Arabidopsis thaliana: one gene and its partner. The protein of the gene in region 1 purifies or fractionates together with the protein of each later gene. This does not show direct contact. Each region holds a gene or a part of one and is shown in the gene's direction. Other genes may lie near its edges.

The links.
Region 2: the proteins of RIN4 (region 1) and ERD4 purify together in Arabidopsis thaliana (affinity purification with mass spectrometry, with the first as the bait; one study listed by BioGRID). This does not show direct contact.

Annotation. Positions count from the first base shown.
Region 1 is NC_003074.8:9,130,371-9,134,729, forward strand, and holds RIN4 (RPM1 interacting protein 4), read left to right. Parts: upstream 1-1,767; 5' UTR 1,768-2,087; coding exon of another isoform or gene 2,088-2,093; 5' UTR 2,094-2,520; coding exon 2,521-2,982; intron 2,983-3,060; coding exon 3,061-3,243; intron 3,244-3,347; coding exon 3,348-3,377; 3' UTR 3,378-3,718; downstream 3,719-4,359.
Region 2 is NC_003070.9:10,713,540-10,719,615, forward strand, and holds ERD4 (Early-responsive to dehydration stress protein (ERD4)), read left to right. Parts: upstream 1-1,942; 5' UTR 1,943-2,352; coding exon 2,353-2,623; intron 2,624-2,994; coding exon 2,995-3,152; intron 3,153-3,246; coding exon 3,247-3,522; intron 3,523-3,619; coding exon 3,620-4,449; intron 4,450-4,532; coding exon 4,533-4,788; intron 4,789-4,876; coding exon 4,877-5,260; 3' UTR 5,261-5,458; downstream 5,459-6,076. Other genes in the region: DLAH (alpha/beta-Hydrolases superfamily protein), read right to left, coding at 5,630-6,076. UniProt on the Arabidopsis thaliana protein: Acts as a hyperosmolarity-gated non-selective cation channel that permeates Ca(2+) ions. Mechanosensitive ion channel that converts mechanical stimuli into a flow of ions: activated in response to membrane stretch. Not activated in response to membrane poke.

The DNA of each region.
Region 1 (4,359 bases):
CATTTCTGACTCATGTGGCCCTATTTTGGAGTGAGGTTTTAGTCAAAAACTCTAACAATACATTCCACGCGTTGAACAAGAAAACCAAACCGGGTCAATTTCAATTTTAGTGAGAAGAAAATACCAAGAGGTTCTTGGTCCCTTTGAGAAAAGCAGAGTACCAAAGTGCAAATTCAAGTTAATTGACAAATGTGAAAGAGACTTAAGAATTGAGACTTATTAAAGAGACTAAGAGAGTGATAAACCCCTTAAATAATGTATTGAGAAACCCTTACCTTTGTGGCTTTGTGACACTGGTTTGTATGGTTGTGGCGGACAAATTCGTTTGCGGATTGAACCATTTTATATATTATAGTCCGTAAGAGTATGGATTGAGACAAATAGAAGAAATCCGTCGTGGACCAATTTATATAAAATAAACTTGATTTGGGGTGGATTGTTGTATGTCCCAAAAATAGAGTAACGCTCCAAAACTAAATAACACCAAAAGAATTAAGAATGCACACGATCTCTTAGTTGTCTTTAGTCTTAACTAACCATATCACTTGACTACAAAAAATAAAAAGACACACTCACGTTGAGAAACTGATGAAGCTGAACGATCTGTCTTCTTTGATTTGATCTTTCTTATTTTTTCGTGAACAATCTCTAAAATATTCCCATTAAGGCATTAACCATGTGAAAACACTTGTACGTGTGGACTATATAGTTCACGTGTGTATGAGTACGGGAGCATTGAATAATTATCGCTACGGCAACCACAAATAAATTGATGTGAACAACGCTGAATACTTTCCATTTTTCAACTTTGTCTAGTAAAAAATTACTAAAATAATGTTCCAATTATGGTTTTTAGTGAACATCTTATTGTCATTGGTGATTCGATAATAGATGCTACGAGACATGTTATTTGTTCTTGGAAGAAAGAGGTACGTAAATTCTCAAAAGGGTCTTTCAGTGTAAAGAGGCAGCTTTGACTTTGCTAACACAAAAAGTCTCCATATGATTATTTTCTTTTTCTTTTCAGAAGTTAATATTCTCAATTTCTCATAAACATTTTCAATTCTTTCTTTTGTTATTGGTTGAATAATTTTGTTGAGTTTTATAAATGATGTTTTAATGTGAAAACCAAGAAACAATTGATCATTTAATTAGTTTCTTGATTAGTGTGCTAAAACCTTAAACATCAACTAAGATCAAAAAGAGATTAGGTAGTTGTGGTCAACCACCTTTGATGATAACTTTCTCATTTCTAGTTTTCTAACTATTTTGTTCATACTGCCTTTTTTTTTTCCTTGTACTCGTAGAACACTTTTTATTTACTTACTATCACTTTGTAGTACTCTTCACAAAACACTTTTAAGTTTTCTCTAAAAAAAACTATGAGTGTAAATAATAAAAGTATACGTACTAGCGTTAAATGGCGATATTTGTAAAAATAGTTATTGTACTATTTGTATCACAAAAATTGCAAGTAGTTGATTCAAATGGTAACCTATCTATAGACGAATTGGTACCAATCGTCACCAAAAGAAATTTCAGTTATTACTACTCATTAATCCGCTAAAATCCAAGATCAATAATTCACTAAATTCTGCTATAACATTGTAACATTGTTGCTATCAATAATCAAATTATTCTATTAGCATATAATTATTAGATCCACAAAACTTATCTACTAGAGCAGAAGATTCCACCAAAAGTTGCTTCCGACCCACATATCCAATTCTTTAGGACAAAAATATTTATTACAATCTTTTAAGAGGAAAACAATGTAACATGGACACCAAAATAAAGCCGCCTTTAACGGTGACGGTAACGGTAACGGCGTTTGAGTGCTCTTGACAATACATGAAAATTTAGTAATAGAGTTAAGAAATGAAATTAATAGAGTTTGGAGTGAGACAAAGAGAGAAGAGAAGATTAGAGAGAGGAGAGGAAGGGTCAAAGAATACATAGCATCACCACTAGTCAACGCTTTTATAAAACTTCTTCTTCGTCTCCTCTCCTTCTCACATCTCTCTCTGTCTTTCTCTCTCAAACCTAACAAAAGCTTCAGACTTCAATTCTTTAGCTACCTCTCTCCCATGGCAGTAAGTGTTTTCTTTCCTTCTTTCCTTCTCCTCTTCTTCTTATTTAGGTCTAGAGCTTTCTCTCAGATTATAGTTTTTGTTTCGATTCCGTCAATCTCTGACCCTTTTTTTGGAGGATTTGTAGAAAGTTGAGTCTTAATCTATTTGCATTTATGGTTCTTCCTATTGAGATAACATTTCTATGGATTGCGATGTCTATTAGTATTCAACTTTATGATTCTGATTTGCTTTAGATAAGAAAAGGGTTTTATGAAAGTTACTATTTTTATGGTAAAGTTTCTATTTTTGCTTAGCAAAGATTTCAACTTTATCATTGTACTTGGTCGAAATCGATAAACCCAATTTGTATTTGTTCTGTTTTGGATTCTTAAGTGAATTTGCTATCTTGTTTCTGTGATGATTGTTCTTTAGGATGTTATGTTATTGAATGTTTTGTGGAAGGACATTGTTGTTGAATTGTTTGTTGCAACAGCGTTCGAATGTACCAAAATTTGGAAACTGGGAAGCTGAGGAGAATGTTCCTTACACAGCTTACTTTGACAAAGCTCGTAAGACTCGAGCACCCGGTAGCAAGATCATGAACCCGAATGACCCGGAGTATAACTCTGACTCTCAATCACAAGCTCCTCCTCATCCTCCTTCTTCCAGAACCAAACCTGAGCAAGTTGACACGGTTAGAAGATCACGTGAGCATATGAGAAGCCGAGAAGAGAGCGAGTTGAAACAGTTTGGTGATGCTGGTGGTTCATCAAATGAAGCTGCTAACAAAAGACAAGGAAGAGCTTCTCAGAACAATAGTTATGACAACAAGTCACCTTTGCATAAGAATTCTTATGATGGTACTGGAAAATCTAGGCCTAAACCTACCAACCTTAGAGCTGATGAAAGTGTAAGAATCTCACTTTTAACCTCTAAAGTGAGAATATCTCTGTTTGTTGCTTATGTGTTGTCATCTGTTTATATATAGCCTGAAAAAGTCACAGTGGTGCCTAAATTCGGTGACTGGGACGAGAACAACCCGTCATCAGCTGACGGATACACGCATATCTTCAATAAAGTCCGTGAAGAGAGAAGTTCTGGAGCAAATGTGAGTGGATCTTCAAGAACGCCGACTCATCAAAGCTCCCGTAACCCGAACAACACTTCCTCAGTAAGACATTCTTTAAAACTCATTTTCAAGTATAATCATTAGTGAATACGTATTCAAATAGTGAGTGTGTGTTGAACATTGGTTTGTCTTGTGCAATTTGACAGTGTTGCTGCTTTGGCTTTGGAGGAAAATGAAAGGGACCGGAAGATTGTATATAGTTATCGAGAAATCAGTGTGTAATCTTGATGATTAGACATTCGTGCTTCTTTAGATGAAATAAGGCATAAGTCTCACTTGCATAAGATTTTTATAGTATAATTTTTGTATGTATATTTTGCAATTCTTCCTTAATACTTTTGGTGTTTTCATAAGACACATTCCAGTTTCGGATCTGCTTGCAGATGCATTATATCTTGCTTGGTACGGCCTGAGTGATTTGGTAACTGATTTGATATGAATCAGAGATATTTGGGTACCTCCAAGTTTGTTGTTTCTAATGTTCAAAGCCTTAACTCTGCACCACTATAAAGAAAGACCCATAACTTTTTATATAAAATCAAGATTAAGATCTTTGGAGGATGATGACTCGTATGGTCCATATGATATGGACATCAAAGAAGAACGAATTGACACTTGTTTCCTATATGGCTTTGTACAGTGTAATCAGGTTTGATTCTCCAGCTTTATGTACTTACTATTTCAGCATTCTCTATGCCCAATAATTAGACTTAAATGCAATCTTTTTAAACCCGACCTGGATGGTGAACTAGACTACTTTTTAGGTCACGGGGTCAATGGATCAACCGGATTCGACCACGGATCAATTGATTAAAATTTATTTAATATTATAGAAATTATTAGTTTGTATAAATATAAATATAAAAATAATTATACCATGGTCTAACAATAATAATAAAGTAATTAAATATTTAAATCTAACTAAAAGTCTAAAATAGTAACATATACTAAAATAGTAGGAGTAATGACGAAAATAAAATAATAAAACATCGCGAATTCAAAACAACTAATCTCGGTTGTCTCTATCACCATTCCATTCGTTTTTTTAGGCGGTATTGTGAGATTTTTGTCAAAATCTAAAATATCTTCTAAGTCTTAAGAATTAAAAAAAAAAATCTAAAAATAACCGAATAAAGTCTAAACTCTTATATTTTATTC
Region 2 (6,076 bases), on another chromosome or scaffold:
GATGAAGTGGTGGGTCTTTGTATGTGTACATGTCGACGTGAAAATAGAAGAGAAATAAATATCAGCAAAAGGGCTTTGGACCGGATCAATAGCCACCTAACCAAATCTGTGAACGGCGTTACTTTCAAATAACAAATACTAACAGAAATATCATTGTAGATAAGACTTTAGGGTCTTCGATCGACATATAATAAAGATAAGGTTTGGGACCCTTTCAAGCTTTTTTTCGGTGTCGGCAATGAAGTTTTACGTCGAGGTGGCATTAACAACTGGACAACGGCTTTTTGTTTTGTTTTGGGGTCTCTTTTGTCTTGTGAATAACAACTTTTATCACATTCGCATAAATTATATATAGATTTATGAATTTATTCTCCCAAATTAATGGTTTGTCTCAGTGGAAATCTACTGTTTTGTCCAGTGACTTGTGTTATCTATTTAATTCAGTTGGATGCCAAAAATAACATATATTTTCGATCTATCTATTGTGGATTTTACCCGATCGACATAAAAGGAATTAAGGACCGGTATTGGACCAATATTACATGACTGGTCATGCATGGAAACACACCAAACAAAACAATAAATTTTCTTTGTATAAAAAAAGAAAACCAATAATTTATTTATCTTCTGATTAAAATATGGCGAAGAGATATACACTAGTATTAAAATTTAAAACAATAGAATGAGGTAAAACATAAATACAGCATGTCGTGGACGTCTTTCGATTGTTTTTAGTTCTTTTTTTTTGGTTTTATATTTCAAAACTTGTTGAAACTGCATAAAAGTTTTTTTTTTGTGTGGATCCCCGTAATTTTTATTCTACACACGTACAAGACAATTTTTTCTTACGTAAACTATACAAACATATAAAGTGCATGTGACTGGTGAATGCTTATAATAAAATACAAATAAAATAATGTGTGATTGGTGGAATATTTAGAGTAAAAGAAGAATGAATATAGAGGAATATTGATATTGGAGGAAATAAAAATATGAATTAGAGTACCCAAATAACTGGTATTCCCTACAAGCAGTCAACAAAACTAAGGAAAAAAAAACCAAGGAAAAAAGAAGAAAAAATTGTTTTGTTTCTGTTGAGTGGACAAGTTATGAGATTAGAATTCAAATATCCGTTCAAGTTAAAGCATGGAATCACGAATGCTCCACATCTCAAAGAAGAAATTGAACTCTTTCTAATCTTAGAATTCAAAGAAACGTAGAGGAGTCTGATGAGATGTGGTTGGTTGCTATTACCTCTGATTGAATTTGATCACATACAAAATAACATTCGATCTTGATGTGTTTCGTAGGCTTTTGTGTAAAATCAGATGCATATATTTGTTTCAAGGGTCGTCTCCACTAGAGTAAAATGACGCATATCATCAAGAATGCTTTTCCACCACATTACTTACGACACAGTCAATATTCAACTTCGACATAAACGAACCTATTTCGCAAATTGTTTATGAGTTATTCAAATTATGTAAATTTAATATACTATCATATATTTTATAAAGATGTCTATTAAGTAAAAGGATGAAAACATATATTATTTGAAAAACCGGATTTCAGATGAAATTACTAGTTTAAATCAAAATATGCTTTGATTTATATAGTAATACAAGTATTTTTTTGAACTTAAATTGTTATATGATTGATATGTCACCATAACCGTAAATATTTGCGAAATAAAGGTAATTTCTTACCATATGTTTTTCCAAATATTAAGAGATACATTAAACATGTCATACTGATCAAAGATCTCTAAGTAGTAGTAAATAAGGTTTACGAGTACTTTTTTGAAACAAACCTAGAAAATAGAAGGGAATAGAAGAAACTTCAAAAGCACAAAAAGAGAAAAATCCAAAGAATAATTTATTATACAATAAAATAAAAACGTATAAAAAAGGGAACAAAATGGGTAAAGAGAGGAGGAGGAGGACCCTGAAGTAGGGTTAAAAAATCCATCTCCTTTGGTGTCTCTATCATCAACACCTGTCGGCCTTGTCACTTAAACACGCTCTTCACTCTCTTCTCACACACCTCTCCTTCTCCTTCTCCCACCATTTAATCAATTCCACAATATTCAATTTTTCCAGTCTCCTCCGTTACACAATTCCACAAAGAGATTAAACAAACAATAGAAAAATATCTTCCTTTCTTTTTCTGTGAATACACCAATAAAGTGACAAAAGAAAAAGCCTGTCTTCTCTCACCTGTAATTACCAGAAGACAATATAAACTGTTACTTTCCTTCTTTTGTTGTACCCCTTTAAAAACGGCTACTTTAGAGAACTTGAGAAGATTTAGAAAGAAACAGAGAGCTTGAGAGATTCCTCTGGCTAAACCCAGATGGAGTTTGGATCTTTTCTTGTGTCCTTAGGGACATCTTTTGTTATCTTCGTCATTCTCATGCTTCTCTTCACCTGGCTTTCTCGCAAATCTGGAAATGCTCCCATTTATTACCCGAATCGGATCCTTAAAGGGCTGGAGCCATGGGAAGGCACCTCCTTGACTCGAAACCCTTTTGCTTGGATGCGTGAAGCTTTGACTTCCTCTGAACAAGATGTCGTTAACTTATCCGGCGTCGATACTGCTGTCCACTTTGTCTTCTTGAGCACTGGTTCGATCTCAATCTCTCTCTGTTCATCTCTGTTCTCTGTTACTTTAGTGGTTCCAATTCAAGGGTTTGGTGGAATTCTGCTGATTTCTGTTGGTTTTGATTTGGGTTTGAGATTTAACCTAATAAAGTTTCGATCTTTAGAGACAATTGGGGGAAAAAACGTTTCAAAATGGAAACTTTTTTGTTTGTAAATTGCTGGCTCTGACTATTTTGTTTGCTATGTTATGTTATCTCTGTTTTACTTTTAGACATTGGTGATTGAAATTAGAATCAGTAGATAGAACTTTTTGAAGTCTATATATACGAGCCAGTGATTTTGGTGAAGGTAAAGTGTTTATGATGTCTTGAAAATTGGCTTTTGTTTGATGCAGTTCTGGGGATATTTGCTTGTTCCAGTCTTCTTCTCCTACCAACTCTACTGCCTCTAGCCGCTACAGACAACAACATAAAGAACACAAAGAATGCGACAGATACCACAAGCAAAGGAACTTTTAGCCAACTTGATAATCTATCAATGGCTAACATCACAGTAAGTAAACACAACAATAACTCCATTCTGCCTATTGATTCATTTTCAGTTTTTGATAGTCTAAAGCAAAATGTGTATCCTTTCATTTGAACAGAAAAAAAGTTCGAGGCTGTGGGCGTTCCTAGGAGCTGTTTACTGGATATCTTTGGTCACATATTTCTTCTTGTGGAAAGCTTATAAGCATGTCTCTTCATTGAGAGCTCAAGCTCTGATGTCTGCTGATGTAAAACCCGAGCAATTCGCTATTCTTGTTAGGGATATGCCTGCACCACCTGACGGGCAGACACAGAAAGAGTTTATTGATTCTTATTTCAGAGAAATATACCCTGAGACATTCTACAGATCGCTTGTCGCAACAGAAAACAGCAAGGTATCTACTTGTTCTGGCCTAAGAAAGTCATATGTTTTAAGGTTTTAGGCATCATAATGTTAATATGTTAACCTTTGCTCTTTGTTGTGTTGTATAGGTTAATAAAATATGGGAAAAATTGGAAGGTTACAAGAAGAAGCTTGCGCGAGCAGAAGCAATATTAGCAGCAACTAATAACCGTCCCACGAACAAAACCGGCTTCTGTGGGCTAGTCGGTAAACAAGTAGACAGCATTGAGTATTACACTGAGCTAATCAACGAGTCTGTAGCCAAACTGGAAACAGAGCAGAAAGCGGTTCTTGCTGAGAAGCAGCAAACCGCAGCAGTGGTTTTCTTCACAACCAGGGTTGCTGCTGCATCAGCAGCTCAGTCTCTGCACTGCCAGATGGTTGATAAATGGACTGTGACCGAAGCTCCTGAGCCACGGCAGCTCCTATGGCAGAATCTCAACATCAAGCTCTTCAGCAGAATAATCCGGCAATACTTCATCTACTTCTTTGTTGCAGTGACCATTCTGTTTTACATGATACCAATCGCGTTCGTCTCTGCCATCACCACTCTTAAGAATCTTCAGAGGATTATTCCGTTCATAAAGCCGGTTGTGGAGATAACCGCCATAAGAACCGTTTTGGAGTCTTTCCTTCCTCAGATTGCGCTCATTGTTTTCTTGGCCATGTTGCCGAAGCTTCTCTTGTTTCTCTCCAAAGCCGAGGGGATTCCTTCACAGAGCCATGCCATTAGGGCTGCTTCAGGGAAGTACTTTTACTTCTCGGTCTTTAATGTCTTCATTGGTGTTACCCTTGCTGGGACTTTGTTCAACACAGTGAAGGATATCGCGAAAAATCCCAAACTCGACATGATTATTAACCTTTTGGCTACTAGCCTCCCTAAGAGCGCAACTTTCTTCCTGACCTACGTTGCTCTCAAGTGAGATTTTGGTCTTCTTGACTTAAATAGCATATGTATTGTTCGTTTGTTCCCTAAATCTTATGTTGATGATTTTTTTTCAGGTTCTTTATCGGTTATGGCCTTGAGCTGTCTCGGATCATACCTTTGATAATCTTCCACCTGAAAAAGAAGTATCTCTGCAAAACCGAAGCGGAGGTCAAAGAAGCTTGGTACCCGGGAGACTTAAGCTATGCGACTAGGGTTCCCGGAGACATGCTCATCCTCACAATCACGTTCTGCTATTCAGTCATTGCTCCTCTTATCCTCATATTCGGCATCACCTACTTTGGTTTAGGCTGGCTAGTCCTCAGGAATCAGGTCAGACTTTCTCTCTATTTACTATACCCATAAACACTTAGGTTATCAAAAATGTGATCTTGAACTGTTTTATTTCGGGGTATGACAGGCGTTGAAAGTGTACGTTCCATCATACGAGAGCTATGGAAGAATGTGGCCGCATATTCACCAGCGCATACTAGCAGCGTTGTTTCTATTCCAAGTGGTAATGTTTGGCTACTTAGGAGCCAAGACATTCTTCTACACGGCCCTTGTGATCCCTCTCATTATCACCTCTCTCATCTTCGGATATGTGTGCCGCCAGAAATTCTACGGAGGGTTCGAACACACAGCTCTCGAGGTAGCTTGCCGTGAGCTGAAGCAGAGTCCAGACCTAGAGGAGATTTTCAGAGCATACATTCCGCATAGCTTGAGCTCTCACAAACCAGAAGAACACGAGTTCAAAGGCGCAATGTCTCGTTATCAAGATTTCAACGCAATAGCAGGCGTTTAAAATTTGAATCCAATCCCCAAATTATCTCATAGATTTGTTTTGCTGGTTTTTTAGAAGCTTTTATTGTTATGTGTGTGAATTTTAGGGTTTGTTTAGGATTCTTCTTTGTATGTGTTCCATGGTTGTTGTAACTTGTAACTTTGTAAGCTACTTTTAAACATCAACTTGATTTTTCATCATTAATATTCTTCTACTCTGATGTTCTGATTTCTTTAGCTGATGCAAATTGTATTTAAAGTAGTTTCAAACATATATACATTATTGTCACAGCTTGATCTATATTCATTGAACTGAAATGTTGTAACCAAAATTCACAAGGACTAAAGATTCAAGAAAACGAATGAATGGAATGGAAAATAAATTTATTTCTCATAAGCTATAAATAGGTTTTGGTCCGGTCGGTAACGGAGAGGGAATGTCTTCAGGTGCACGGACAGGCTTCACCCACCGGCCAGTCTGTTTGTTAAGGATCAGACCCTTATGTGCCACTTGGTACCAAAACTCAGGTATTCTTAGATGATCCAACAACATATCTGTGCTCTTGTTCACCGAAGCAACGTCTCTCCTAGCGTTAACCCTAAACCCAGATTTCTTGCGGTGGAAGCCATCCAAAACATGGAGATACACCTCTAGATTATGAGCCCTCCCTAAGTCTGAATCACGTTTTACGTAAGGCGAACTGAAGACATCGAGTTTAAGCTGCGTTCCGACATGCCTGTAGACCCAATTGAGCCTTGAAGTTATCGGATTAAGTTTGTTAAGTACCTTGTTGAACACGATACCAGGTAGCTTAGGTACAATGTCTTGCTTGTTCAC